Stegostoma tigrinum: one gene and its partners. The main gene of each other region encodes a partner of the protein of the gene in region 2 in a complex. Links are inferred from orthologs where the notes say so. Each region holds a gene or a part of one and is shown on either strand. Other genes may lie near its edges.

Region 1 (7,677 bases), on a different chromosome or scaffold from region 2:
CATTGCCATCATGCTTCTTGGACTAAACATACTGATCTAGGAAATTCTCCTGATCGCAATCTAAGAACTTCTGTGCCTCACTACCCTTTATGCAAATAGGTCCTTTTCTGAATGAATAATGGGGGCCACAGAGCTTTGGACTAGGACACCAGCTATTCACAATACCAGTTAATAATTTAGATGAGGCAATTAAATGTAAAATCTCAAAATGTATAGGTGACACATAACTGGGTGAAAATGTGACCCACGAGGAGGATGCAAAAATGTTGCAGTATGATTTTGAAAGGCTGAGTGACTGGGCAAATGCAACATAGTGTGGGTAAATGTGAGGCTACCTACTTTGGCAGTAAGTATATAAAAGCACATTATTACTTGAATGGCTGTAAATTGAGAGAGGGAAATATTCAACGAAATCTGTATATCTTTGTGTACCAGTTGCCTAAGTAAGTGTGCAAGCGCAGGAAAGAAGACAAAATATATTTGGCCTTCACAATGAGAGAATTCAAATACAGGAACAAGAATATCTTGCTGCAATTATACAGGGCATTGGTGAGTCCATACCTGGAATATTGTGTTCAGTTTTGGTCTTCTTTTCTGAGGAAGAATGTTCATGCTATAGAGGGAGCAGGAATGGTTTACCAAACTGATTCCTTGGATGGCAAGGTGATGCATGTGGAGAGATTAAATCAGTTAGGTCGTATTCACTTTGGTTGAGAACAATGAGGGGATTTCTCATACACACCTATAAAATTCTAATGGAATTAGTTGGGTTTAATGCAGGATGTTCCTGATGGTAGGGGGTCCATAACTAGGGGTCATCATTTAGGAATAAGGTGTAACACTTTTAGGACTGAAATAAAGAGAAATTTCTTCACCCAAAGAGAAAGGCACCTGTGGATTTCACTACCCCCAGAAGGTGATTGAGGAAAACATTTCAAGGAGATAGATAGAATTTTTGTGGCTGAAGAAATCAAGTGATATCAGGAGACAGGAAGAATAGGGTATTGAGCTTGATGAATGGTGGAGCAAGCTCAAGGGCTCGAATGGCCTACTCCTGCTCCTACTTTCTATGTTTCTAGTCCAACCATTAAAGGTAATTAAAGTCCCCCATAATGGCTATTCAACTATGCTTATACATTTCTGCAATGTCCTTGCAGATTTTTCTCTCTCGAGATTTTTAAGCCATTTGCCAGGGTTGGAGAGTTTGAGCTGTAGGGAGAGCTGAATGGACAGGGGCTTTTTCCTCTGGAGCATTGGAGGCTGAGGTGTGGCCTTATGGAGATTTATAAAATCATGAGGGCAATGGACAGGGTAAATAGACAAGGTCTTTTCCTTGGGGTGGGAGGAGTCCAAAACTAGAGGGCATAGCTTTAAGGTGAGAGGGGAAAGATTTAAAAGGGACCTCATGGGAAACTTTTTTATGCAGAGGGTACTGCATGTATGGAATGAGCTGCCAGAGGAAGTGGTACAATTACCACATTTAAATCTATCTGGATGGGTATATGAATTGGAAGGGTTTACAGGGATGTGAGCCAAATGCTGGCAAATGAGACTAGATATATTTAGGATATCTTGTCAGCATGGATGAGTAGGACCGCAGGGCCTGCTTCAGTGCTGTATATCTCTATGACTCTAGATCCTTCCCACTAGTTAGTGGTCTACGGCTCACAGCGGGCAACGTAACTGCACTCTTCTTATTCTTTAGTTCCACCTGAATCAATTCCATCCCTGAACATTCTGAAATGTCCTCCTTCTCCTATATTGCAAGACTCTCCTTAAGAAAAAGACTCCATATTCCCTTATTTTTAAATATTTTCAATCTTTTTGTATACCTTGTAACCAAGAACATTTAGCACCCAGACCATCCCTTTCTAGAAATAATGGATGCATTGATGGCATCTTCCAGGATTCTTCAAACTCTGGAACAGTCCCTGCAGATTGCAGGGGAGCCATAGGTCACTCCAGTAATCAAAAAGGGAGGTAGAGAAGAAAACAGGAAATTATAGATCAGGAAGCCTAACATCTATAGTGGGGAAAATTCTCAAATCCATTATTAAGGACTTTATAGCAGAGCATTTAGAAAGCAGTAGCAGAATTGGACAGAGTCAGTATAGATTTATGAAAGGGAAGTCATGCAAATCTGTTGAAATTCTATGAAGATGTAACTAGTAGGGTTGACAAGGTGGGGGGCAGTCAATGTTGTATGTTTAAGATTAATGTGCACGGGATTGGCAGAAGTGTATTAAGATGGATAGAAAACAGGTTGACAGAGAGGAAACAAACAGTAGGAATTAATGAGATAATGGGAACTGCAGATGCTGGAGGATCTGAGAGAACAAAGTGTGGAGCTGGATGAACACAGTATGCCAAGCAGCATCTTAGGAGCACAAAAGCTTTTACGTTTCGGGCCTAGACCCTTCATCAGAAAAGGGGATGGGGAGAGGGTTCTGAAATAAATGGGGAGAGAGGGGGAGGCGATTGAAGATGGATAGAGGAGAAGATAGGTTGGCAGGCAGTAACTAGCTGGGTGTTGCAGGGATTAGTGCTGGGATCCCAGCTATTCACAATATATATTAATGATTTGGATAAAGGAACAAAATGTAATATCTCCAAGTTTGCAGACGATACCAAGTTGGGTGGGAGGGTGAACTGTGAGGAGGATGCAGAGATCCTCCAGCATGATCTGGACAAGTTCGGTGAGTGGGCAAATGAATGGAAAATGCAGAATAATTTGAATAAATGTGAGGTTGTTCACTTTGGATGTAAAAACAAGAAGGCAGATTACTACCTAAATGGCTGAAAATTGAGAGGGGAGTGTGCAGCAGGACCTGGGTGTCCTTGTGCATCTTGTCACTGAAGACAAGCATGCAAGTGCAGCAGATTGTAAAGAAGGCAAATGGGAAGTTGGCCTTCGTTGAAAGAGGTTTCAAGTACAGGAGCAGGGATGTGTTGTTGCAGTTATACTGGGCCTTGGTGAGGCCACAACTAGAATATTGTGTGCAGTTTTGGTCGCCGATTCTGAGGAAGGATGCTCTCGCTCTCGAGGAATACAGCAAAGGTTTACCAAGCTGATTCTGGGGATGTTGGGTCTGATATATGAGGAGAGATTGACTAAGTTATGATTATTTTCACTGGAGTTCAGATGAATGAAGAGGGATCTCAATAGAGACTAATAAAATTCTAACAGGACTTGACAGGGTAGAAGCAGGGACAATGCTCCTGATGGTGGGTGTGTCCAGATCCAGGGGTTACAGTCTTGATTTGAGGTAGACCATTGAGGACAGAGATGAGGAGACATTTCTACACCCAAAGAGTGGTGAGCGTGTGGAATTCATTACCACAGGAAATAGCCAATGCTAAAATATTTAAGGTATTCAAGAGGCAGGTAAATATAGCACTTGGGGCGAATGGGATCATAGGTTATGGAGAGAAAGCAGGATTAGGCGATCAGTTGAATGATCAACCATGATCGTGATGGATGGCAGAGCAAGCTCGAAGGGCTGAATGGGTTCCTCCTTTTCCTATCTTCTATGTTTCCTTGAGCCAGATCTCCAATATTTTACTTTCACAATCTACCATGGAAATATGTGCCTGTAACTTCCCAATCTTATTCACCATACTCAGTCCATGCACGTACATGCAGAGCAACCCTAATTTACGGTTCACTACCATCTCCATTATGTTGACTCCACATATTACTTCTATTCTCACACAATCTGCCTCCCCCAGCATCTTTTTGTACTCTGCCATTTCCTTCTAACGTTCTCTGCTGGTTCCCACTCCCCTGCGTAAACCCTTCAAGCAGTCAGGATCCTTCTTCGGAACTGCTCTGAAGAAGGGTCCCAACCCAAAATGTCGACTTTCCTACTCCTCTGGTGCTACCTGACATGTCGTGGGCCTCCAGTTCCATACTGTGTTGACTCTGACACCAGCATCTGCAGATCTTGGGATCTTTTTGCCTGTCTCCCTAAGACTGCCATAGCCACTGCGAGCACTGAAACCTGGAGCTCAAGCTTGCAGTGGCCCCACTTCCTCCACATGGGCTCATCAAGGTCATTTAGAATGTCCACACATGCAACAGCATGCATATTCCACTTGGCTGATCTGTCCTGCCATAATCTTAACCTATACTTTTAAGAAATTTTACTTGCTAAAACTTTAGTTTCCTTCTTTTAACTTTACTTTGATACTATTGACTTTAAAATAGAGATGAGTAAACAAAAAACAATTCTTTGCCCTTAATCATAAATCCCCTCTCCAGCGCCTGTTAATTCTTACTTTCCCTGTGCTAGTTTAGATACATTTTTTTCAAACTCGAATTGAAATGAATTTTCAGCTACTCAACAATATTAACCTCAGGACTTTCCTATGATATTGCTCAGAGGTTTACGTCCCGCCAGCCCACACTGTTTTATCTGGTGCTGGATGGAAATGAAACAGTACGGGGACCAATGTGAACTGTATTAAACTTTGACAAATAAAGCAATAGACACAAATGGAGATGAACATCATAGTCAGCTGAGAGTTTCGTTGTTTTCTCTCAGACGAGGAGCAGCCAGGGAGAGACAGAGAGGTCAGTACTGGAGGGTTGTGACGGGGGGGATGAGGAGGGAAGGCCTCGGGGCCGGGGAATTCAGGGAGACGAGATTGAAGACCCGAGGGCAGGATCCCGACCCGGGTTAGGGACGGGAGTATGGAGGAGATCCTGAACCAAGCCCAGAGAGAACAGGATAAAAGCCGGAGAGAGCCATGAGGCGAAGAGATTTGATGTCGCGAATCCGTCCCGGCCCTAGCAACCAACCTCAGCCAATCCGCTCGTCCTTTACTACCAGTGTCCGCGCGAGCCAATCCGTTCGCCCCTTACTACGAGGGTCTGCGACAGCGTGTTCTCCCCGGTTCTGTGAAGCTGTGATGGCGCCGCTGAAGCTCTGCATCCCAGGTACCGGCAGACTTCAAGAGCGGAGCAGGGATGGGATGTGTAAGAAGTAGGAACAGAGTAGGCCTTTCGACCTCTCGAGCTTGCTTCGCCGTTCGTAAGGATCGTGGCTGATCCCACACACCTCCTGTCTACTTGCCTGCTCTATTCCCATAATGATCCTTTCCCTACTAATCAAAAGTCTATCTGTCTCAACCTTAAATATACACCGTTTTTACTGTGGATTGAGAAATGGACGTTAGTGAACTCAGGGAAATAAATGTTGATCTTTTGAAAACAGTTCACATTACAGATGAGGAAGTGCTGTAGGTCCTAGAAAACGTAAATGTGGATAAGCCTTCGGGATCTGATCAAGCGTATCCCAGAACGTTGTAGGAAGTTGAGGAGGAAATTGTGGGCTCCCTAGCAGAAATATTTGTCTCATGTATAACCACAGGTGAGGTGCCTGAGGAGTGGGGGGAGGTTAACGTTTTGCCGTTATTTAAGAAAGGCTGCAAGGAAAAGCCAGGAAATTATAGACCCGTGTTTGAGACCAGTAAGTTGTTAGAGGTGATTCTGAAAAGTAGGATTTACATGCATTTGCAGAGGTAGTGAATGATCAGGAAGAGTGAGCATAGCTTTGTGCAAGGGAAATCACATCTCACAAACTTGATTTTTTTTGAGGAAGTAATCAGAAAGATTAATCAAGGAAGAGCAGTAGACATTGTTTACTTTGACTTTAGTAAGGCCTTTGATATGATTCCACATGGTAAACTAATCAGTAAAGTTGAATCACATGGAATTCAGGGTGTACTTGCCAATTGGATACAAAATTGAACGTAGGAAATGGACAGTGGTGTGGAGGGTTGTTTTTTTGGTCTGGATGCTTGTGATCACGGGTTCGACAGGGATTGGTACTGGGTCCACTTTTGTTTGACATTTGTATAAATGATTTGGGTGAGAATATAGGAGGCATGGTTAGTAAGTTAGTGGATGGCACCAAAATTAGTGGCATAATGGACAGAGGAAAAGGTTATCTAAGATTACAAAGAGATCTTGATCAATTGGGCCAATGGGCTGAGGAGTGACAGATGTAGTTTAATTTGGATAACTGCAAGGTATTGCATTTTAGTAAAACAAACAAGGGCAAGACTTATTCAATTAATGGTAGGGCTCCTGGGTAGTGCTGTAGAACAAGGAGACCTTGGGATTCAGGTATATAATTCTTTGAAATTTGCATCACAGGTATACAGGATAGTTAAGGGACAAAGGTAAGGTGAATAGCAAAGTTGTTTTCCCTAGTGTGGAGGATTTTAAAATTAGGGAGCATATTTTTGAGGTGAGAGGAGAAAGTTTTAAAAAGAACGTGAGGGGCAGCTTAATTCACAGAGTTGTTTGTGTGTGAAATGAAGTGCCAGAGGATGTAAGATAACAAAATTTGGGGCTGGATGAACACAGCAGGCCAAGCAGCATCTTAGGAGCACAAAAGCTGACATTTTGGGCCTAGACCTGCAGATATAGTTACAACATTGAAAAGACATTTGGATAAGATTAAGAAAAGTTCAGAGAGTTAAGGGCCAAGTACATGCAGGTGGGTCTAGTTTAGTTTGGGAACATGGTCAATGTGGACTGGTTAGACTGAAGGGTCTCTTGCCATGCTGCATGACTGTGACTAGGACTCTGCCCCCACAGCTGTTTATGGCAGGGAATTCCAAAGACACTCAACCCTCTACTAAAAGAAATTTCTCCTTGTCTCAGTCTTAAATTGGTGCCTCTTTATCCTGTGACTATGCTTTCTCATCCTAGACTCATGAGGGAAAACATCCAGTTGGCATTTACCATGTCAAGCTACGTAAGAATCCTATTATTGTGTCTTCCAGTAAGATTATGCAAGAGAAGGGCTTCTGAGCCCAGGGTTCATCCACACCGTCTGCTTTCCCATTTTTTTTGTCTTCTTTCTCTCTCTTTTGTTTCTTTTTTACTCTTTAGTTTTATCTTATTTCCCTTTTGCTGAAGAGCTTGGGCTCAGTAACAGCATTGCTGACGGGTTGGCCCAGCAGTATGGACTGATGGCAGCAATGTTGGAGGCGAGTTTGTGTTCCCGCATCTTGTGCATTGTGGAGGCGCTCCTAGTGCTGATTCATGACTGCTGCGGCAGAGGTGAATTGGGCCCAGCATGAGACCTGACGGCAGCAGCTGCATGTTGAGGTGGGTCGACGCAGACTCAAGGTGGCAGCTGAGTCAAGTTCAGGTCAATGCATAAAGGGAGGCATTGGTGGCATCCTTATTGGCAAGGCCCAGTTAGGATTCATCTTGGCAGTGCCATTGCTGGAGGTGAAATGGTGCCAAAGAGTGGCGTCGTTTGGTGCAGCAGTGGCAGCACGGTGAAGGAGGTGCCTGGTCACCAGGCCCATGGCCCATGTTAAAGCACTTAACAAGAAGGACTATAAATTAGACAATATAGTGTGGAGCTGGAGGAACACAGCAGGTCAAGCAGCTCAAAGGAGAGTTTTCTGAAGAAAGGTTCTGACCCAAAATGTCACCTTTCCTGCTCCCCGTTGCTCCCTGGCCTGCTGTGTTCCTCCAACTCCACACTGTGTTGCCTTTGACTCCAGCATCTGCAGTTCTTGCTATCTCCTTGTAAGTTAGACACTTTTTGTTCTCATTTTTCTGCCTTTATATTCTATGGTTTGGTTTTTTATTTGTTTTAAGATGCTCCCAGAGAGTGGTGCCACTTTTCAATGTATTTTTGTAACAAGTTA
Region 2 (7,432 bases):
TCCCCACCATTGTCTCTCTCTCTCTCTCTCTCTCTCCCCCCATTCTCTCTCTCTCCCCCCCATTCTCTCTCTCTCTCCCCCCCATTCTCTCTCTCTCCCCACCATTCTCTCTCTCTCTCCCCCCCATTCTCTCTCTCTCCCCACCATTCTCTCTCACTCTCTCTCTCCCCCCCATTCTCTCTCTCTCTCTCTCCCCCATTCTCTCTCTCTCTCTCCCCCCCCCATTCTCTCTCTCTCTCTCTCCCCCCCATTGTCTCTCTCTCTCTCTCCCCCCATTGTCTCTCTCTCTCTCTCCCCCCATTGTCTCTCTCTCTCTCCCCCCCATTGTCTCTCTCTCCCCCCCATTGTCTCTCTCTCTCTCTCTCTCTCTCTCTCTCCCCCCCATTGTCTCTCTCTCGCTCCCCCCCATTCTCTCTCTCTCCCCCCCATTCTCTCTCTCTCCCCCCCATTCTTTCTCTCTCCCCCCATTGTCTCTCTCTCTCTCTCCCCCCATCGTCTCTCTCTCTCTCCCCCATTCTCTCTCTCTCTCTCCCCCCATTCTCTCTCTCTCTCCCCCCATTCTCTCTCTCTCTCCCCCCATTCTCTCTCTCTCTCCCCCCATTCTCTCTCTCTCTCCCCCCATTCTCTCTCTCTCTCCCCCCATTCTCTCTCTCTCCCCCCATTCTCTCTCTCTCTCCCCCCATTCTCTCTCTCTCTCCCCCCATTCTCTCTCTCTCTCCCCCCATTCTCTCTCTCTCCCCCCATTGTCTCTCTCTCTCCCCATTGTCTCTCTCTCTCTCTCCCCCATTGTCTCTCTCTCTCTCCCCCTATTGTCTCTCTCTCTCTCTCCCCCCCATTGTCTCTCTCTCTCTCTCCCCCATTGTCTCTCTCTCTCTCTCTCTCTCCCCCCATTGTCTCTCTCTCCCCCATTGTCTCTCTCTCTCTCTCCCCCCATTGTCTCTCTCACCCCCCCATTGTCTCTCTCTCTCTCTCTCCCCATTCTCTCTCTCTCTCCCCCCCCATTGTCTCTCTCTCTCTCTCTCCCCCATTCTCTCTCTCTCTCCCCCCCCATTGTCTCTCTCTCTCTCTCCCCCATTCTCTCTCTCTCTCCCCCCCCATTGTCTCTCTCTCTCTCTCTCCCCCCATTGTCTCTCTCTCCCCCATTGTCTCTCTCTCCCCCATTGTCTCTCTCTCCCCCCATTGTCTCTCTCTCCCCCCATTGTCTCTCTCTCCCCCCATTGTCTCTCTCTCTCCCCCCATTGTCTCTCTCTCCCCCCATTGTCTCTCTCTCTCCCCCCCCATTGTCTCTCTCTCTCCCCCATTGTGTCTCTCTCTCCGTCTCTCCCCCATTGTGTCTCTCTCCCCCTATTGTCTCTCTCTCTCTCTCTCCCCCCCATTCTCTCTCTCTCTCCCCCCATTGTCTCTCTCTCCCCCCATTGTCTCTCTCTCTCCCCCCCCATTGTCTCTCTCTCTCCCCCATTGTGTCTCTCTCTCCGTCTCTCCCCCATTGTGTCTCTCTCCCCCTATTGTCTCTCTCTCTCTCTCTCCCCCCCATTCTCTCTCTCTCTCCCCCCATTGTCTCTCACTCTCTCCCCCCCATTGTCTGTCTCTCTCTCCCCCCCATTGTCTGTCTCTCTCTCTCTCCCCCCATTGTCTGTCTCTCTCTCTCTCCCCCCATTGTCTGTCTCTCTCTCTCTCCCCCCATTGTCTGTCTCTCTCTCTCTCCCCCCATTGTCTGTCTCTCTCTCTCTCCCCCCATTGTCTGTCTCTCTCTCTCTCTCCCCCCCATTGTCTGTCTCTCTCTCTCTCTCCCCCCCATTGTCTCTCTCTCTCTCTCTCTCCCCCCCATTGTCTCTCTCTCTCTCTCTCCCCTCCTTTGTCTCTCTCTCTCTCTCTCCCCCCATCTCTCTTTCTCTCTACCCCCATTGTCTCTCTTCCCCCCAATCGTTTCTCTCTCCCCCCGTTGTCTCTCTTTCTCTCTCTCCCCCCGTTGTCTCTCTCTCTCTACCCCCTATTGTCTCTCACTCTCTCCCCCCCATTGTCTCTCACTCTCCCCCCCCATTGTCTCTCACTCTCCCCCCCCATTGTCTCTCTCTCTCTACCCCCTGTGGTCTCTCACTCTCCCCCCCATTCTCTCTCTCTCTCCCCCCATTGTCTCTCACTCTCCCCCCCATTGTCTCTCACACTCCCCCCCATTGTCTCTCACTCTCCCCCCCATTGTCTCTCACTCTCTCCCCCCCATTGTCTCTCTCTCTCCCCCCATTGTCTCTCTCTCTCCCCCCCATTGTCTCTCACTCTCTCCCCCCATTGTCTCTCACTCTCCCCACACCATTGTCTCTCGCTCTCTCCCCCCCATTGTCTCTCACTCTCCCCCCACCATTGTCTCTCGCTCTCTCCCCCCCATTGTCTCTCGCTCTCTCCCCCCATTGTCTCTCGCTCTCTCCCCCCCCATTGTCTCTCGCTCTCTCCCCCCCATTGTCTCTCGCTCTCTCCCCCCCATTATCTCTCACTCTCTCCCCCCCATTGTCTGTCTCTCTCTCTCTCTTCTCCCCCCCCCCATTGTCTCTCTCTCTTCTCCCCCCCCATTGTCTCTCTCTCTTCTCCCCCCCCCATTGTCTCTCTCTCTTCTCCCCCCCCCCATTGTCTCTCTCTCTTTCCCCCCCGTCCGTCTCTTTCTCTCCCCCTCCATTGTCTCTCTTTCCCTCTCCCCCCATTGTCTCTCTCTGTCTTCCCCCCTCCCCCCATTGATTGATTGATTGATTGATTGATTGTTTGTTTTTTTTTTCTGTTTCTGTGTGTGTCTCTCTCTCCCTGTCTCTCACTCACTTGAATCCAGCCGCCATCCTTCTCGGTCTCTCTGAACCATGTGAACCTGGGAACTGGATTCGCAGATTCCGCGGAGAGGCCGGAACGGTTGTGAGCCTCTTTCCCTCATTGGACTACGCTGTATTTTTCCCTGCTTCGACTCCTGTAATCCCCGCTCTGTCTACGGCCAATCCCTTTCATGGGGTTTATTTTCTTATTTTTAGTTTAGTGTGGAATGTGCAGAACGGAAATGAAAGCCATGTGGCTGGTTGGTGCAGCATGATGATTGACAGCTGCAATCCGCATCTTCAGGAAACAATGTCTTACAGCTCGCATTCACCAGTCTGTATACATCTCATTGGCTTTTAAAATATACTGCATATCTAATTATGATTAAATTATACATTGTATTATTTCTAAAAATATAAATTTATAATATATCCTTTATAATGTATATTTTATAATACCTAATATTTTAAAGAGTCGGTGGTAATATAACTCACGAAGAATTCTCCAAATGTAGTCATGAATTGCGCTAAAAGTGTTACAGGTAATGCTGACAAATCATCTCAGTCCCAAGATATCTCTACAGGACTTCTTCAGGTAGTGTCCTGAGCCCAACTACCTTTAGCAACTTTTATCAAATACCATTCCTCCCACATATGGTCAAAGTGGAGTTGGTCCCTGGTGACTGCATGATATCATTTGAAATCGGACATGAATTGAATTGAATTAGGTTTTTGTCACATTACTCTCATGAGTACAATGAAAAATTTACAAGTATCCACATAAAGCACCATTTTAGGTACAAACGTACAAAGGTACCAACTCTTGGGTATAAAGCAGAAAAATATGAAAAACAAAGTTATAAAGTTAAACATTGCAGTTCTTCATGCTAAAAAGGGATGAGGAAACAAAGAAACATGTTAACAGTTCAACACCACGGTCCACAAGTACCTGGCCATGCTGGACTCACACTCCCCACAATGGCTTGACCCCCGCCCCCGGCTCTGAACACCCATTCTCACCCCTCGCCACCTGCTTCTGCTGTCGACCCCAGCCTCTTTTGGCTGCCTGCTCTAGGAGATGGATGTTGCAGGTTTTGAAAGTACAGTTGATGGAACCTTGGCAAATTGTAGCAGTGCGTCACATAAACGCTGCTGCCACTGTGTGACAGTGATGGAAGGATTGACTGTTTAAGGCAATAAACAAATTTTAAAATGTATAAAGCAATACCATTTATAAACAAACATTCCACACATCTAACTCTTATTAATATTGTTGTTTGAGTTGCTAACCAAGAATGTTGGTGTTACGGTCATTGGATCTCACTATTATTTTGGCTTACCATTGACCAGAAACTGAACTCTACATATTTTGCTACAAGAGCAGATCAGAGCCTTGGAATTTTGCAGTAAAGTATCCACCAAATCCTCAGGCCAGTCCACCATTCGTCAGCCTCAAGTCAGGGGTGTGATGGAATATTCTCAATGTTTCCTTCACCGTTGCTGGAATGAAATCCTGAAAGTTCCTCTGTAACGGATTTGTGGATGTACTGGTTGCATGATCTGCAGCAGTTTAAGGTGACATCTGGTCACCACCTTTTCGAGGGTAACTTTGGAAACACAATAAATGCTGGATTGTTGGTGACACTTATATGAAATAACAATAGTACAAAGCTATACCCTTTGTAAACAAATATTCCACACATCCAAGCTTACAAAGTGAAAAATGCAGGTACTACATTGTTGTTTGAGGGAATAACTTTGGCATTAACATGTGGAGTGGATGATGCCCGAATATTGTTTATGTCAATTTAAGAGCATTTGGAACGAGTTGAGCAGTTCTTTAAAGTTTCAACTCATCAGGAGTACCTTCCTGGGCATTTTATTACCGTATGTAGTGTAGCTACAGCATATGGGAGCTGGCAGATACCAATGTGACCCATATATCCATATCCTCAGGTGTTGCCTGCAACGTGAGGATATCAGTTGTCTGGAACTTAAAACTTAAAACAGATAACAAGAGTGTTTAAAAATATGCAAAAAGGAAGACTAACTTAAAATAAATATTGGCTCTTGGTCCCTTAGAAACAAAGAAGGAAAAAATATCATGGGAAATGAGGAAATGGCAAAGAAAAATATTTTGTCTCAGTTTTCTCTCTGGAAGACACCAGTTACAAGCAGAAATAGTAGGAATTGCAGATGCTGGAGAATCCAAGATAACAGGGTGTGGATAATAAAGTGTGAAGCTGGATGAACACAGCAGGCCAAGCAGCATCAAAGGAGCAGAAAGGCTGACGTTTCGGGTCGACGACACTAATCTGAAGAAGGGTCTCGACCCGAAACGTCACCCCTTCCTGCTCCTATGATGCTGCTTGGCCTGCTGTGTTCATCCAGCTCTACACCTTGTTATCTTACGAGCAGAAATAATGGGAGGTGAGGAACAGATGCAGAAGGAAAAAGGAGACTGGCACAGGGGATCTGAAATAGAGTTGATGCTTCCTAGGGGAATGGACGGACACAGGGAGCTGGGAAAAAGGGAAGTCCAAGGTCAGCAACGATCACACCGACAGACCCGCGCTGCATATGGATTCCTCCTGCTCCGCTCACTTCTTCACCTCTTCGCCCAAGGTATGGGAGCCTAAAAGGAGGGCACGGGTTTAAGGTCAGAGGGGAGAGATACAAAAGGATGCAAAGGGGCAGACCAGTCCTGTCACAGAGAGGGCGGTTGGGAGGCTGGAACCAAGCTGCCAGGGGTGGCGCTACAGTGAGAAGAGCCGTCGAGTTTGGGAGCCTCTTGCTGCCTGTAGCACCCTCGTCGATTCCGGCCGCGGGGTGCTGGCTTCCGCTTCGGTGTCCCGCTGCCATAGGCTCGCGAGGTTGTTAGGGTGGAAGCCGCTGGCGGTTATCGACCCCGGGTCATGGAGCTCCATTCCGGCGAAGTGCTGCAGGCAGTAGTCGGTGTCGCCCTCACGGTCTTGCTCCTGGTGAGTGTGCTCCCTGTGACGATTCACCCCTCTGCTGGCAGCTTCAGCTGTTTGTTGCCGAGAGACATCTCCCGGGGATCAGGATGTGGAATTGTTATAAATGAAGATGAGAAGCACTGGGGGAAAGAAAAGTACCAGTGGGAGAGGTCCACAGGCCCTGTCAGAGTCACCACAATGTGGAATAAAGTATATAAAAGGAATAGCGGGAGCTTGCGACAAAGAGCCAGCAATAATCTGTGTATCTGTGGGGGGAGGGTGGGGGCGAATATCAGTGATAATGGGAACTGCAGATGCTGGAGAATCCAAGATAACAAAGTGTGGAGCTGGATGAACACAGCAGGCCGAGCAGGAAAGCTGATGTTTCGGTCTGGACCCTTCTTCAGAAATGCATGTCAGCCTTCCTGTTCCTCTGCTGCCTGGCCTGCTGTGTTCATCCAGCTCCACACCTTGTTACTTCAGACTCCAGCGTCGGCAGGTCCTACTATCTCTCACTGGCGAGAATATCCTGGATGAGGAGCTTCTAGAATGCTTTTGAGATTAGTTCCAGAACTTACTGCTGTAGCAGCCAAGAGAACAAAAACACAACAAAAACCAAAAGAACTGCAGATGTTGTATATCACGAACAAAAAGAAAGTTGCTGGAAAAGCTCAACAGGTCTGGCAGTATCTGTGAAGAAGGAAAAAAAATAACATGTAACTGATGGTTCTGAGGAAGGGTCACTGGACTCGAAACGTTAACTCTGTTTTCTCCTCCACAGATGCTGCCAGACCTGCTGAGCTTTTCCAGCAACTTTTGTTTTTGAACAAAAACAGAAGTTGCTGGAAAGGCTCAGCTGGTCTGGCAGTATCTGAAGAAGAAAAAAAATTAACATTTCAGGTCCAATGACCTTTTCTCAGAATGGGAACTCTGTTTTTATATTATGTTGGATTAGCTATTGTGTAAGAGAATGCCTCCTGTAGGAGCAGTGACCACAAACTGGTTGAAGTTTTACATCCTGTGTGAAAGAGAGAGGATTGGATCTCAGGCTAGTATTTTGAATTTAAAGTCAATTGTGTGAGTATGACATCCCAGCTTGCTGAAGTGAACTGAGGTATTTGACTAGGGGATTGGTCAATCGAAGAGGACTTGCAAACATCTACGGGGATATTTCCAAATACTGAAACATATTCCTACCAAAATGTAAATTTCCAAGGGAAGGATGCATAGCACTATTAGGGGAGGAAGCTTCAGGATTTTTTTACCTAAATTATTTTATAGAGACATTGAAATTATGATAATTGAATCCCTACAGTGCAGAAACAGGCCCTTCGGTCCAAGAAGTCCACACTGACCCTCTGAGCATTCCACCCAGTCTACACATCCCTGAACCCTACAGGCAATTTAGCCTGACCAATCCACCTAGTCTGCACATCTTTGGACTGTGGGAGGAAAGCAGAACACCCAGAGGAAACCCATGCAGAACGTGCAAACCCCAAACAAACAGTTGCCTGAGGGTGAAATCAAACCTGGGTTCCTAGTGCTGTGAGGCAGCAGTGCTAACAACTGAGCCACCATTTTGGCCTAAAATGAGAATGAATGCTGAATAGTCACCAGCGATGTAAATAGAGCTTTCAGCTGGAGTGGATTCAAAATCACCATTAATGATACAGGGCAATTATC
Region 3 (6,912 bases), on a different chromosome or scaffold from region 2:
GTGGGGCACCTTGTTTCAAACCTTAATACAACTACTGGTTATGAAATGGAATCAAACCATTTCTATAAAATTTACTCATTGTTCGATGACCAAATGCACAGACAGTAAGTGTTAAGGACATGCCTGGTTTGAAGTGGTTTGACACATATCAACTTGTTCACTCTTTCCACAGCTCCAGCAACTGACGCAATTAGCTTCTCATCTTCCATATAGGTACCATGGCCTCTGGAACAGACATAATATATACTGTATTAGGATACACAAAAGTTACCCACTCAAGGCAGGCTAATGGAAACCTACAACTCTTCAAAGAGAGAGTTCGGTGCTGAATGTGAACTTTTGTCTATTTCTCTCACCACTGTATCTTTTGAATAGAATAAATCAATCTCAGATTTAGAGCTATTAGCTGGCCAACCTTCTGCTGTATTTATGTTTCCTAATTTCCAAGGCCTTGGTCTTAATTTTGAAGATCATGTCCACTTAGGAAGTCTTCACCCTATCCCAATGAACCTGTTTCATAAGCTTTATTGGCCACAGTTTCCAATACATCTGTCACTTGCCATGTGGCGAATTGATGCTCTCAGTATTATGTTACACTAAAAAGATGGAGTTGTGGCAATACAGTTGGGATGCAAAGTGAAGGACTTGGTTTTATTCATTGGTTGTTTTCACAAAAAAAAACTGATGTACTTCAGCAACTGAGTGTTGCATGGGGTCAATAAGAACTAAAATGTGCAATGCTGGCAAACGGGCAGTGCATAAAAATTCACCTTAATAGATTTGTTGAAACAAGCAGGATTACTTGAAAAGGAAGGTTACAGGAGGCTGGCCTTGAGCCAAGTCTCCAAACACTGCATTCAAAACTGGCAGGTAGAGTGCAAGTAAGAATCAGAGCACAAACACCATAAAGACATGTGGTGGCTATTTTCCTCCCCATATCTCCTAATATAGCAATTCTAAAGGGAAAGAAAATCTTTATTTCAAAGATAAACTTGAGCACACTATCAAAAATCAACATATGTTAAAAGCATGTCACCAGCATTACGAGATTGCGCATACTTGCGAAACAGCCCAATTGGAAATTCCCTTTTGAAGTTGTCGTACGGCTGTGGCAGCAGATTTACCAGCCTCGATTGCTGATGGTTCAAAACACCCCAACCTAAAGTTTCCTAGAATCACCACAGGATGGAAAGAAGCCATTTGCCCCATAGAATCCACACTGACCCTCTGAACAGCATTCCCACTGCCCTCCCCATCCTATCCTGTAATGTTGTATGAATCATGGCTGATCCACGTAGTCTGCACATCCACGGACACCGTGGGGTAATTTAGTCAATCCACCGAACTTGTACAGTTTTGGACTGTGGGACGAAACTGGAGCACCCAACAGAAAGCCACAGAGCAAAACATGCAAACTCCAGAGAGAGTCACCCAAGGCTAAAATTGAACCCGAATCCCTGTCATCAAGAGACAGAAGTGTTGGCTGCTGTGCCAATTATTTTATTAATAAATGCATTTATTTTGTGTTCCAGTTAGTGATGAAACAGTCACAGATTTGAAGAATGAAAGCAGAAAGCCATATGCACGACACCAGTCTAAGTCATCTTTATGCCTTCTTTCTAAAGTCTGTCTGTTAATGTATACAAGGCACTTGTTAGATCTCAGCTCGAGTATTGTGAACAGTTCTGGCTGCCACATGTAGGAAAAGATGTGAACACATTGGAGAGAACGTATAAGTGGCTTGCAAGAATGCTTCCGACGATGAGGAATATCAGTAAATGAGCACAGACTGGTGAAGCTATAACTGTTTTAGAGAGAGAGAAGGCAGCTAAAATGCAATCTGATAGAGATTTTGAAATCAAGAACAAGCTTAAGAGGGTAAAATAGGGAGAAACTGTTTCTGCTTTTGAAAGGAACAAGAAGAGGAGAGCATCAATTTAAAGTAACCTGCAAATGAAACAAGAAGGAAGTCAAGAAAAAAAAAAATTCAGTGAGCATACTCAGGACAGGGAACATAGAGACTGGAAATGTGGAGAATGGTTCAGCTGATGCACTTAAGACAACATTGAATAATTATTTAGATAAAATAACATGCAAGATTGGGAAAAAGCAGGAGACTGGCACTGGATGACATTGCTTTAGCAACCACTGCAAATGTTGGAAATCTGAAATAAAAACTGGTGAAACCTGGCAGAGGGTTATACAGGTTACACTGAGTCCAATACGATTCACCTTCTGTTTTGTCTTTTCTAATACTTGTTTGGAAGCTTCCAGTACTATCATTCCCTTTTGTATATTCAGCGGAGAGTCTTATTTTAAGACACAGACGAGGCAGATGTGGTAAATAAGAATGAGGCAGCTATTGGAAATCTGGAACAAACGCAAAATGCTGGAGAAACTCAGCAGGTCTCACAGCATCTGCTGAGAGAGAAAACAGAATTAATATTTTATGTTCTGAACGAATGGTCATATCTCCAGAGATGCTGACAGGCCTGCTGGGTTTCTCAAAGATCATTTCGATGCAGGCTATCGAGTTTGCACTGATGGCGACCATCTAGTATTTATGGAGATGTGACTTTGAACGAGTTTCAGTCACTGACCGTTGATAAAAAGATTTAAATTTATAGGCCGAATGCGCACCGTCTACCCACGTGGATTTCCTTGCCTCTGGAGTTAACGTCCTGATTTAAAATATAAAAGTTCTCCCATTTTTGTGTTAGTTTTACCTCATGAAACCGGTGTCGGTGGTGATGGTGTCTCCCGGTGATACCAGATGTTTACCGACCTCAGCCGGTAAAGAGACACGCTTTCGCGCCGTCGGTAACCGAATGTCCACCGCCATCTTTGTTACTGGCGTACAGCCTGCGGCGGCCACCTATAACCACTGCCGCCATCTTTGATATGGCGAACGGGCATCAGCTGCCAAATATCATTGCAGCCGCCATCTTCAATATTGGCAAATAGCCTTCCGTGGTTATGACCACATCGATATCTTTCACGTCGGCGAATCCTACGTTACTGAATACCTGATGCTGAAAGTCGGATATAAACAAAAAAAGAAACATGAAAAGATACACAGAATTAACATTTCACTTCCATGTGTTCGTCAAACCTCTCAAATATTTCTCGCATTGTTTGCAAAATCCAGCTTTTACCACATTTACTGAACTCAATCACTGTAGAGCTGCTGCAAGCCCCGATTAACAGAATCCTTTAAATTTTTATTTCAGTCTTCCATCATCCGCAGTTTTGAGCTGTTAACTGCCATCTTTAACACTGGCAAGACACGCCAGCTCTACTTCCGCCATTTTTAACACAGGCATTCGACAAGTCTTTGGGGATTGGGGGGGGTGGTGATTGATTATCGCCATGTTTCTTACTGGCAGACTGAAACTGTCACCATCTTTGTTATTGGCAGATGTTTGGCTCCTTTCTCCTTGCCTCCATGTTTGTTTCCGGGCTGTCTCTGCACCGTTATATCGTCCTAATAACGAATCGACCCGCGCTTTTCTATGATGTTGTGTGGTGAATCAATTAGCTCTTCAACGTAACAAATCAGATAGTTACCATATTGTTGCCAGTATTTTTACGCGTTTTACAAGGTTCTGGTTAACTCGATGTCCGTCTCTGGAAATGGTGGGTGCCGCCATTTTGAGTCCAAAGTTAAACCCAAAACAAATTTTAAACACTGTCAAACTTAAACTATAACTAAATAATATGAAAGCACACGTAGTGATTTACTAGTTCTGGATCTATTGTTGGTCAATCTTATTTCGTAGAATCCCAACAACGCTGAAAGAGGCCATTCGGCCCATCGCACGAACTATGACCCTATGAATCTGCAACGACCCGCAGAGCAGCCCACCCTATCCTTGTTCGCCCCACGTTAAACATGGCCAGTCCACCTAAAGCTGCAAATCTTTGATCTGTAGGAACAACCTGGAGCATCTGACACAAACTCCACACACGAGCCACCCAAAGGGCTGGAATTGAACTTGGGTCCCTGGCACTTGTGAAGTAATAATGCTAACTGTTGAGCCACCATGCTGTCCCAAACCATACTTCTAGTAAGGCTGAATATTATTTCACTAATACTTGCACAGGTCTAAACAAACAATATGGCTTCTTAAAAACATGTTTCTCAAATTTTGAAATACATATGCCTCTACTTTTATCAATAGCTGGCAAAAGTAAAGGTGACATGGGAAGGGACACCTGGAATGCACTGCTTAGGAGGTGATGACTTGTCAATACAAGAGGAAACCATGGGCAACACAGAAGGGGTAGGATAGTGGTTTTCGTTGGTTGCCCTCACTATCACCATTTGGCTAGATTACTGCCTGCTTAGGCACCAGTTCATGGTAATACTGGACAAGTCAAATTCCAGAGTAACATCTGTCTTGATAGACCATGTCGCATTTTCAAAAAAAATTCCAGATGCTGGATAACAGAAACACAAACAGAAATTGCTGGAGAAACTCACCGGGTCTGGCAGTGACTGGATCCAAAACGTTAATTCACCAACCCAAGGAAGCCTAACCAGATAAATAGAAAGCGGGACATAACACCAGCGCTTCATCAGAGGCTCACTGATGATGTTACCTAGAATAGTGACGAAACGTCTGAAAAACTAACCTTCCAGCTCAGCGAGCAAACTCACATCCAGAACCTCAACCTGAGCTACAAATCTTCTCAAAATGTTAACTCTGCTTCCTGCCCAAAGATGCTGCAACCTATACTCACCTCTACAGGCTCCATCCCCACCCCTTTAATTTGTCTGCCTCCTCTCCACCTATCTTCACCTCTATCCACCTTCGGTCCACCTCCCCCTCTCTCCCTATTTATCTCAGAACCCTCTCCCCATTCCCCTTTTCTGATGAAGGGTCGAGGTCAGCTTTTGTGCTCCTGAAATGCTGCTTGGCCTGCTGTGTTCATCCAGCTCAACACTTTGCTGCAAGACTTGCTGAATTTCTCTAGCAATTTCTGTTTGCATTTCTTATTTTCACAATTCTGTTACTATGGTGGTCAGTCACCAGTGGTTGCCATTGTATCTTTGATAAAAAGAATTTAAGTTTATTACACAAAGAATAGAGGAAAAGACTAAGATGACAATTTGAAAAACATCCAAAAAGCTTCTCTTTTCCAGCAATATCCTTTATTGATACTCAATCCTAATATTACAAAATACCTTTCGTAATTGATTTCTGACACAATTAACAAGGCTACAATGATTTACTGTTGACAAATGTATGTATATTTTGTATGTAAGATTACAATTATTTCCGTTATTCTATCTCCCTGACACAGTATTGTTACTAGTTAGCTCAGACAAACATTTAAGAGGATTAATGTTTGGCCAAAAAAACACAAATGGCATAGGTGGAGGCTATTCAGCCCATCGTGTCTATGCAAGCTCGAGTGCATATTATTACCTAATGTCAATCTTCTGCTCTTTTGCCTATTCTTGCAAGTTATTCCTAACCAAATAATCATCCAATGGTCTCTTGAATGTCTCAACTGAATCTGCTTCCATCATACTTTCAGGCATTACATTGCTTCCAATGTTACGGACAGTATGGCCCATTTATACATATGAACTAGGAACAGGAGAAGATCATTTAGGCCCTCAGCCTGAATGGCCTATGACAACTCATAATTTGTATTTTTATGTAAATATAAATGGGAATATTATCTGTGCTAGCAAACGATTATCTATTCAAAAGCCCTTTTTCCATACATCTGTATATATTTTAAAATGTTAATTTATATAGCACAATCTCAGGATGCCCCAAGTGTCTTCTAAACCATGTAGTTAGTGACTGAGTTAAGGATACATAGTGTATTAAGTGTTACATCCCACTTGGGACAGTGTGCTGATGCTTGAGCCTCTCTATTCCTTAGGGCATCATGAAAAGATTTAATCAAAGTCTGTACAGTTCCCAACTTACCTGACTGACAGATTCAAGCCAACAGAAAACAGTCGCCAGACCCCCAAAAAAATTGATGTTAAACACAGAGGAAAGATCCGACAGACAAGCAGAGTTCAAAAAGCACGAGTTCACAAGACTCAGTAAGGTGAACCTTTTTCTTCCAGATACCGTCTACTGCCTGGTCTTTTTTCAGTTTCTTTCACTTTGTGGCAGGAGGCACAGGCAATTGATACAGTCTTTGTATTATTGGTTAAAAGCAACAAATCATTGCAACTTTTGGAAGAAAATAACTAGAATGATTTTACTGCAGAGATATGAAGACAGAGCCTTCTGACCTTGTCCACTACACACATGGCAACTGTTCAGTTGCCCAGGATCCAATCACAGAGCATTGTTAAACTGGTGACCTCAACTGGTCTGAATAAATAATCTGTTGCTAGCTAAACTTGCTTTGCAAACAAACCCTGATAGTGTGTGGAGAGGAATCTCTTCTTCTCCACTGTTTGCAAAGCAACAATGTAAAGGCAATAAAATGTGAGGCTGGATGAACACAGCAGGCCAAGCAGCATCTCAGGAGCACAAAAGCTGACGTTTCGGGCCTAGACCCTTCATCAGAGAGGGGGATGGGGAGAGGGAACTGGAATAAATAGGGAGAGAGGGGGAGGCGGACCGAAGATGGAGAGTAAAGAAGATAGGTGGAGAGAGTGTAGGTGGGGAGGTAGGGAGGGGATAGGTCAGTCCAGGGAAGACGGACAGGTCAAGGAGGTGGGATGAGGTTAGTAGGTAGGAGATGGAGGTGCGGCTTGGGGTGGGAGGAAGGGATGGGTGAGAGGAAGAACAGGTTAGGGAGGCAGAGACAGGTTGGACTGGTTTTGGGATGCAGTGGGTGGGGGGGGAAGAGCTGGGCTGGTTGTGTGGTGCAGTGGGGGGAGGGGATGAACTGGGCTGGTTTAGGGATGCAGTAGGGGAAGGGGAGATTTTG
Region 4 (7,746 bases), on a different chromosome or scaffold from region 2:
TGATTGATCCCAGACAGACTGCACTGTGTAATCCTTAGGCCCTCAGAGTTGAAATCTGCTCAGTGAGGAAGTACTGAAATAAATACTGTGGCAGGGCAAAAAATAAGCAGCGAGGGCAAAGTCCCATACCACTTTAGCTTGAATTGCATTTATTCTCTCTACTTCACCCAGAGATCAAGTTTTACTGCAGCACAACTCCACCCAGACTGCTCAAGACCAGACAGCAGGGAATTGAGGCCCAGCGTCCCACACATCCAACAGGAGAGACTGGACAATCAGCTCCAGGAACCCTGGCCCAATTATACCTTCCTGCACTGAAGCTGAACTTCAGCAGCACCACAGATCAGGCAACTCAGCATAGACAGAGCTGAACCTCACACTTCAATCCAATACCGTGTGGTGGTTCAATTTTAGTTAAATGTTAACAAAGGATATTCTGCAACTTGTATAAAATGTAGTAAATGGAACAGTAAAAAAACATTTATTTTTCAAGAAAGCATTTACTGGAATGTCCAAGAACAAAAGTTCATCTAATCTTTACTGACAAGCTGTGGGATTTTCCTCTTGACTGATTTGGTCAGACACTGTTGGACTACAGAGTAGAGCTTCTGACATCCCTCAATACAAGCCTTGATTGCTTCTACTGATGTCTGCTCCTCCCACTCTCCTTTCGAGACCAGCCCGGAGATTTGATTGAGTGTGGGCAGCAGAGCCACAGTCAAGCTGCCATTGTTTACGGCCTGCGAGCAGGCTGCACTGTACTCCTCAGCTGCTGTTGGATCCAGAAGGGAGACAGCTCCACACTGCCTCAAAGAGCAGCCCACCACCACGTCAAACATCTCGATGCCTGCTTCTGCCAGTGCTATGGAAGCACAAGTCAGCGCAGCTGCTAAGGTGGAGCCATCATTCTCCAGAACCATCACGTACACTTCGATCTGGGACCTGGGGTACTTGTGGAGGCAGATAGCTGGCTGCAAGCTCTGTTCCATGATCAAAGAATACTCCTTCTCCAAGGTGCCCTGAATCCAGGCAGCTCTCTTCCTGCAAGAGAATGGGGCAAATCTACAAGGGTGGGGGGGGGGGGCGTGGTAGGGAAGAAAAACAATCCTATGAATTCATTCACGTGATATTTCAAAAGAGGAATAGGTTAGCACAGTTGGTTAAATGTCGGTGAGGTGGTTCAGAGAAATGTCCAACAGCGCAGGTTCAATTTCTGTTCCATCTGAGGTAGGTTTGGGATTGACTTTGTCGTCCTAAACCTGAGAATGAAAGTCAGCAGCAAAGAGTGACAAAAACTGCCAAGTAAATGGCTCAGGTTGGAGTATCAGCTACAAACCAAGGATCACAGGGAATGGAATGTTAATAAATTAAAATTGAGGCTATCCAGACTACAAAAGTGTGGCCAATTCTTAACTGCCCTCTGAATGGTCAGGCAATCCACCGTTTTACGAGCAATTAGGGATGGGCAACTAATTCTTACCTTGCCAGTGACACCCACTGTCTAGGGATAATGGGAACTGCAGATGCTGGAGAATTCCAAGATAATAAAATGTGAGGCTGGATGAACACAGCAGGCCAAGCAGCATCTCAGGAGCACAAAAGCTGACGTTTCGGGCCTAGACCCTTCATCAGAGAGGGGGATGGAGAGAGGGAACTGGAATAAATAGGGAGAGAGGGGGAGGCGGACCGAAGATGGAGAGTAAAGAAGATAGGTGGAGAGAGTGTAGGTGGGGAGGTAGGGAGGGGATAGGTCAGTCCAGGGAAGACGGACAGGTCAAGGAGGTGGGATGAGGTTAGTAGGTAGCTGCGGGTGCGGCTTGGGGTGGGAGGAAGGGATGGGTGAGAGGAAGAACCGGTTTGGGAGGCAGAGACAGGTTGGACTGGTTTTGGGATGCAGTGGGTGGGGGGGAAGAGCTGGGCTGGTTGTGTGGTGCAGTGGGGGGAGGGGACGAACTGGGTTGGTTTAGGGATGCAGTAGGGGAAGGGGAGATTTTGAAGCTGGTGAAGTCCACATTGATACCATTGGGCTGCAGGGTTCCCAGGCGGAATATGAGTTGCTGTTCCTGCAACCTTCGGGTGGCATCAGTGTGGCAGTGCAGGAGGCCCATGATGGACATGTCATCTAAAGAATGGGAGGGGGAGTGGAAATGGTTTGCAACTGGGAGGTGCAGTTGTTTGTTGCGAGCTGAGCGGAGGTAGGCACCCACTGTCTACATTGCCATTCCACCTTTGTTCACTCCAGCCCAACGCCAGCAGCTCCACCAGGAATCGGAGCTGGGTTGAGGACCAGGTTCATTATTTGTGAGCTGCTGTGATCTGGAATGCGCTGTGCTTCTTCTGTTGACGATCAACACATTTCCCCACCATCCTTCCAGCTTCAAGTCACAGGATCAGCCTGTGTTTCCACAATTCACTTCACTAAATCCAGCAGCCAGGGATAGGACTGGGAACCCTCCCCTCTCCCCAGTCAGAGCTGACCTGACACACACTGATAACCTACACGCCCACCTTTCCAAAATCACAGGAGACTTTACTCCGAGCACCAGGGGTCTCTACATCATCTCCGCTTGCCCTTGGTTTCACGGGGGGTTGGTGTTGGTGCTTTAAGACCCTTCCCGCCCCCGGCCCCGGCCCCTACCTGAACTCGCAGCCCAGGGTCGCCCCGCTCAGGCGCCGCTCCTCCTTCCTGTCGCTCTCCCGGGGCCCGTAAACGGCGCACAGCACCTTGGTGAGGCCGCACTCGACGTACACCGAGCCGTCCGCCTGACTCACCAGGCCGGCCCGAGCAAACACCGGCCTCGGCTCAGCCGCCGACCGCCCATCAGCCCGAACCCGGGCCCGCCCCGGCACCGTGCTCGGAGCCGCATCTCCCGCCACAAACAGCAGCGGCGACTGCGACTCCTCCGGGCCCCGGACTCGCTTGGTGTCGACCGGCATCTGGTACCGACTCGCTCCAAGCTCCGGAGCCTCGACCAGGCCGCGCACAACGAGGCAGCGCCCGTCGTAAGATGCTCCCACCTACTGCCCTCCCCCAACACCGCCCCCTGCAGTCCGGGAGGACCATCCGCAGGCCCTCATGCTCCATACCACCCCCTACCGGCTTTCAGCAAAGTGTGCAAGTTCTCTTCCAGATTGCAATGATTTGGTTTGAGTCGTCTGTGCGTGCAGGTCGCATCGAAAAACATGGGTTCTGTAGCCAAATTTATCAATATTCCACCACCAGGGGGGAAAAAACCAATGCAGCAGTGTGTGACAAGCAGAGCCTTGCTAGGGGAGTAATTTGATTTATTATTGCCACATGTACCAAGCTGTAATCCTGAGATTTGAACGCAATTTAACACTGGCCCTTCAGAGCTATTTGTTCTTTAAGGTGGCAGTAGGAAACGCAGAAGCAAGAGTCGGGGCATGTTGCCCAAAGTCCCGGTCAATATGAATCGCTGAAAAAGATTAGCTGGTTATTAAACATGGGGACATAGGGAGAACACGCAAAGTGCATACAGGCAGTCACCCAAGGCTGGAATCGAACCGATGGCTCTGCTGCTGTGAGCCAGAAATGCTAACCACTGTGCGACCCTGTAGTTATCTGGTTACTAATCTCACTTGGGCTCGACGGCTGGTTTGTGATAGAGCGATACCAACAGTGTGGATTCAATCCTATGCTGGTTGAGGTTACAACAAAGGACCCCTTCTCAACCATTCTACACACCTCAGGCATGGTGACCCTCAAGCTTAAAACACCAACAATTGAGCAATCCTATGGCCTGGTAGGACTATGGCAACTTTACCTTTAACCTGTACTGTATACAATGGTGTCTCCTTTGGGATGCACCCTTTCTTCATTTACATGTAATTTTTTATTGGCATCATCCTCGAGTATGAGTGATGAGGAGGAAGAGGGTCCAAGATTCTCTCTTTTCCACCACCTTGGTGCTGTCAAATGGCCTGCCAATCTAAGGTCATGTACAACTCAGGAATTTTTCCCAACGTTGGAAGAGTGATGTCCTCTTTTAGTTCTTGCTGAACGTTAAGTAACATTTGCCACGGATTCCATTTATCGCCTCCAGTTTGAGAATAATTTCAGCATTGTTCTTGATCTAGAGTTGAGCTTCAATCCCCTTCGATAACAAGGTCCTTGATTTCACATCCACAACATTGTCCGTTTCTGTTCCAACTTTCTCATCATAAATCCTCAACAATTTGTTCCTCGTACCCCAATATCTGGAAATCAAATTCCTGTTCTTATCCACAAATAATTCCCTGGATTTACTCAAACCAACATCGGCAATTGCTTCCCACCTTTGCCTCCCATTCAGAGAATTTCCTCCCGTTGTCTAATTAAAAGATGAAGCTACTGAGGGACAACTTGTTAATATAAATACATGCAGAAAAATTATTTCCTATCGCAAAATGTCTAGAACCAGCAGGGATAAGCTTACCATCTGTTCTTGGGGAGTCCTCCATCAATTTGTGAAGCACCAAAGGACACCACCAAGATTTTATGTATTTTTTTTCAAAAGCAGGTTTTTGGAATATTCCTGTCCACTTCAAAGAGTTGTCTGCTCAGGCTCACACTGGGAGCATTAAAATTTCATCTTCCCAGTGTCTTGTTTATTTCACCGGTCTGTGGCATCCTGAAGGTTTCAGTAACCCTCCTCTCCATTTACTATTATATCCAATATTGGGTGAAACATCAGAATCAAGGTTGACTGTCCTGTGGCCCCAACACCTCAAATTCTGAAGCCTTGCCCTCCAGCCCAATTTCACCATCCACAAGTTAGCCTGTCTCACCTCTCTGTTCTACTAAATGTAATACAGATTACCACTATTGAGGTCTTATTCTTTAATCTCCTAACTCCAGGATATCTTTGATAGGACCTCAACTTTTGTCTACATTATTGGTTCCAACATGACCCACAACATCAGAGTGTTGCCACTGCTGTGTTGCTGGTCATAGCAATGACAGAACATTGGAACAGTTAGAAACAGTAAAGAGTGAACTGGATATTAACTGAATGACTATCATGTGTTGGAATTCAAAACTTTGTCTAATGAACCACTGGAATCGTTTATATTAAAACGCTACTGTCACGTTTTGCTTGCTTGGGGTTAAATCCACTGGACGGAAATACTGGGAGATGTGTAAGACAAAATAGTTCATAAAATGGTACCACTTATGTATGACTTCAATGTTAGACAACAGAAATCATTTCTGCAGAAGTAAATCTGAAAATAACACAAAAAATGCTGCAAGTACTGAGCAAATCAAGTAGAAAGTCAAAGGAATGATGATCATCTGCTGTGTGTGATGTGAAACATTAATAGTTTCTCTCTCCACGTGTTTTGTAAACTGCTGCATATTTCCATTATTCTGATTTTATAGTGGTTAGACCCCTGTAGACCAGTCTGACCAGGTTTGAAGGAAGAACTCATCAATGAAGTGAAAATCAACTTCCAACAGGGACAGTGTGAATCTTTGGGGTTTTTTTATATTTGAAGGAGAGTTAGTGACTAAAGTTGAAAATGGGTGGGATTTACAATAAGTGTTCGTATTTATGTTCACACATAACGTTGAATAAATCAACTTCTAATTGGTGATCAGAGATAATGGGAATTGGTTGTGTTTCACCAGGATGTGAATCAATCGACAGCTAAGGAGATTACAGAAGTCCAAGAGTCAAAAACATGATTGCAATGTCTCGTTCACGTAATGAAGAGGTTTTATTGTTTACACTGTCTTGAACAATGGTTACATATGACTAGGTAATGACAGCATCATCATGAGGCAGCGAACAAGAGACAATTGATCTGAATCTGAAAATAAATAGCATACTCCAAATCTGTAACCAGTACAACACCAGTATTATTTTAAGCTTACGGGTGCAAATCCTTTTAATGAATTAGAGCCGTTTTAAATAGGCTAACAGATTTTCTTACAGCCAGTCCCTTATTGCAACAGTTTGAAGATTTTAGAGATGATCGATTGCTAAGCTGTTCTACTGACTTAGTGAGACAGAAGTTCACGCTTTTAACATTAACATGGAGGAGAATGTGACAACCCCCTCCCTCACCACCTCTCAGCAGTAGTGGTCCTAAACCCCTGCAGCAGAAGAGTCCCGGCCCCATGGACGGTCTTTCAAGTGACATTAACTGCAACGTTTGTGATTAGTTTTTGAGGTCTCCTATTTTCAGCTCAGCGAACTCGGTTGCCAGCTTTAGCGCCTTGTCAAGGCTGTTGACGTTTTTCCCAGTGGCCTGGGCTGACACGTCCTTTCCTCCTCCTCTTCCGTCCAGCAGGTCCAAGATATGGTTGACCCAGTCACTGGCTTTCAGGCCCCTGCTCACCACCTCCTGAAAAAGGTTTGTAATGAAAAAGGGAGAAATAGTGCAAAATGAAAATTCAGTAACCCTGCTGCTTTTAAGATGGGCTTTCCACAACGTACAATGTTCGGACTTTGAGGCGATGCCTCCCCCACTGGCCTGACTGTAAAAGTGGCACAGTGAGGGACTGAGACTTATACATCACAGGTTCAATACCTGATATGCTGCAGATGTCATAACAGCCAGTGAATGGCACAGCAAGACTGAAAGGCCTACACCAATTCCTAAGTCCTATATTACCAGGGTCTCAGGAAACACGTAGCTGGGATGCAACAACTGAAATCAGCTCCTTATGATCAACAAAGGTTAAACTCTGTCTTTGACGGCTGATCATTGGTCCCTGTTGGGTCACGTACAGAGAACGGGTGCAGGGCAGATGATGACCAGACTGGGCTTGAATGTTACAAACCTCATGGTGGATCAGTCTACTGAAACTCACTGAAGGATGAGGAGTAACTCCTGCGATGAAGTATCAAGGGGCACAGAATCATTACTGCCACAGCCTTCAAGTGGAGATTAACAATATTGTCAAACAATGAATCGTTGCTCTCAAACACCCAGACACTGAGCCAAGTTCATCTCATTCCTCCAGTCCTGGCCTCCCTATCGTTGGTCACTTCCATCACTGGCAGTCATGCCTTCATCTGCTGTAACATTGCAATGCTTGCCCTAAACCTCTCTGCGTTTCTCTTCTTAACACTGACGTCCTCAATTATTAAACGTTCAAAGGCTGAGGGAAGAATAAAAGAAGAATAAAAAAAGAGAAAAATAAACTACTAGGGAAAACAATGTGATGGAAGCCAATAAATCCTTTGGGTTGTACCTTAAGATGTGAGGGAAGTAATCAGAGATAGTAGATGCCTTGGTAGTAATCTAATAACAATCTTTATTCTGGAAAAGTCCCAGAGGATTGGAAAGTGACACCATTGTTTAAAAAGGGAGATGAGAAAAAAGTAACTTTAAGAAAGTTAGAATAGTGTCTCTAACCAGGAAAATGTTAGAATCTATCAAGTAGAGTCAGCAGGGCAACTGCTGGCAACTCTATTAGAATTCTGTGAAGAGGTTAACAAGTAGGGTAGTTAAAGGGGAACCAGTAAATGTAATATGTTTAGGTTTCCAAAAGGCACTCAATAATGAGCGTCACACAGAGCTGCTTGATCAGGGCTCATGGGGTTGTGGGTAGTGTAATAGCATTGATACATGACTGGCTAACTCACAGAAGACAAACAGCTGTAATTAAGGGGACAATTTTGAGATGTTAACTTGTAACTAGTGGACTGCCAAAGGTTTCACTGCTGGGGCCACAATTATTTACAATTATATTTTAATGACTTGGATGACAGAATAGAATGTACTATTACCCAAGTT

The links.
Region 1: exosc8 (region 2) and exosc1 share a complex: the UniProt entries of both Homo sapiens proteins name them as parts of the RNA exosome core complex. The link is inferred for Stegostoma tigrinum from reciprocal best matches to the Homo sapiens genes EXOSC8 and EXOSC1.
Region 3: exosc8 (region 2) and exosc2 share a complex: the UniProt entries of both Homo sapiens proteins name them as parts of the RNA exosome core complex. The link is inferred for Stegostoma tigrinum from reciprocal best matches to the Homo sapiens genes EXOSC8 and EXOSC2.
Region 4: exosc8 (region 2) and exosc6 share a complex: the UniProt entries of both Homo sapiens proteins name them as parts of the RNA exosome core complex. The link is inferred for Stegostoma tigrinum from reciprocal best matches to the Homo sapiens genes EXOSC8 and EXOSC6.

The regions. Positions count from the first base shown.
Region 1 is NC_081373.1:12,450,501-12,458,177, reverse strand, and holds the start of exosc1 (exosome complex component CSL4), read left to right. Parts: upstream 1-4,674; 5' UTR 4,675-4,749; coding exon 4,750-4,939; intron 4,940-7,677. UniProt on the Homo sapiens protein: Non-catalytic component of the RNA exosome complex which has 3'->5' exoribonuclease activity and participates in a multitude of cellular RNA processing and degradation events.
Region 2 is NC_081359.1:85,237,663-85,245,094, reverse strand, and holds the start of exosc8 (exosome complex component RRP43), read right to left. Parts: upstream 3,019-7,432; 5' UTR 2,823-3,018; coding exon 2,806-2,822; intron 1-2,805. Other genes in the region: alg5 (dolichyl-phosphate beta-glucosyltransferase), read left to right, coding at 5,708-5,773. UniProt on the Homo sapiens protein: Non-catalytic component of the RNA exosome complex which has 3'->5' exoribonuclease activity and participates in a multitude of cellular RNA processing and degradation events.
Region 3 is NC_081382.1:41,692,216-41,699,127, forward strand, and holds the start of exosc2 (exosome complex component RRP4), read right to left. Parts: upstream 3,021-6,912; 5' UTR 2,843-3,020; coding exon 2,727-2,842; intron 226-2,726; coding exon 124-225; intron 1-123. UniProt on the Homo sapiens protein: Non-catalytic component of the RNA exosome complex which has 3'->5' exoribonuclease activity and participates in a multitude of cellular RNA processing and degradation events.
Region 4 is NC_081369.1:4,854,570-4,862,315, forward strand, and holds the start of exosc6 (exosome complex component MTR3), read right to left. Parts: upstream 3,009-7,746; 5' UTR 2,938-3,008; coding exon 2,639-2,937; intron 1,063-2,638; coding exon 531-1,062; 3' UTR 1-530. Other genes in the region: aars1 (alanine--tRNA ligase, cytoplasmic), read right to left, coding at 6,163-6,348. UniProt on the Homo sapiens protein: Non-catalytic component of the RNA exosome complex which has 3'->5' exoribonuclease activity and participates in a multitude of cellular RNA processing and degradation events.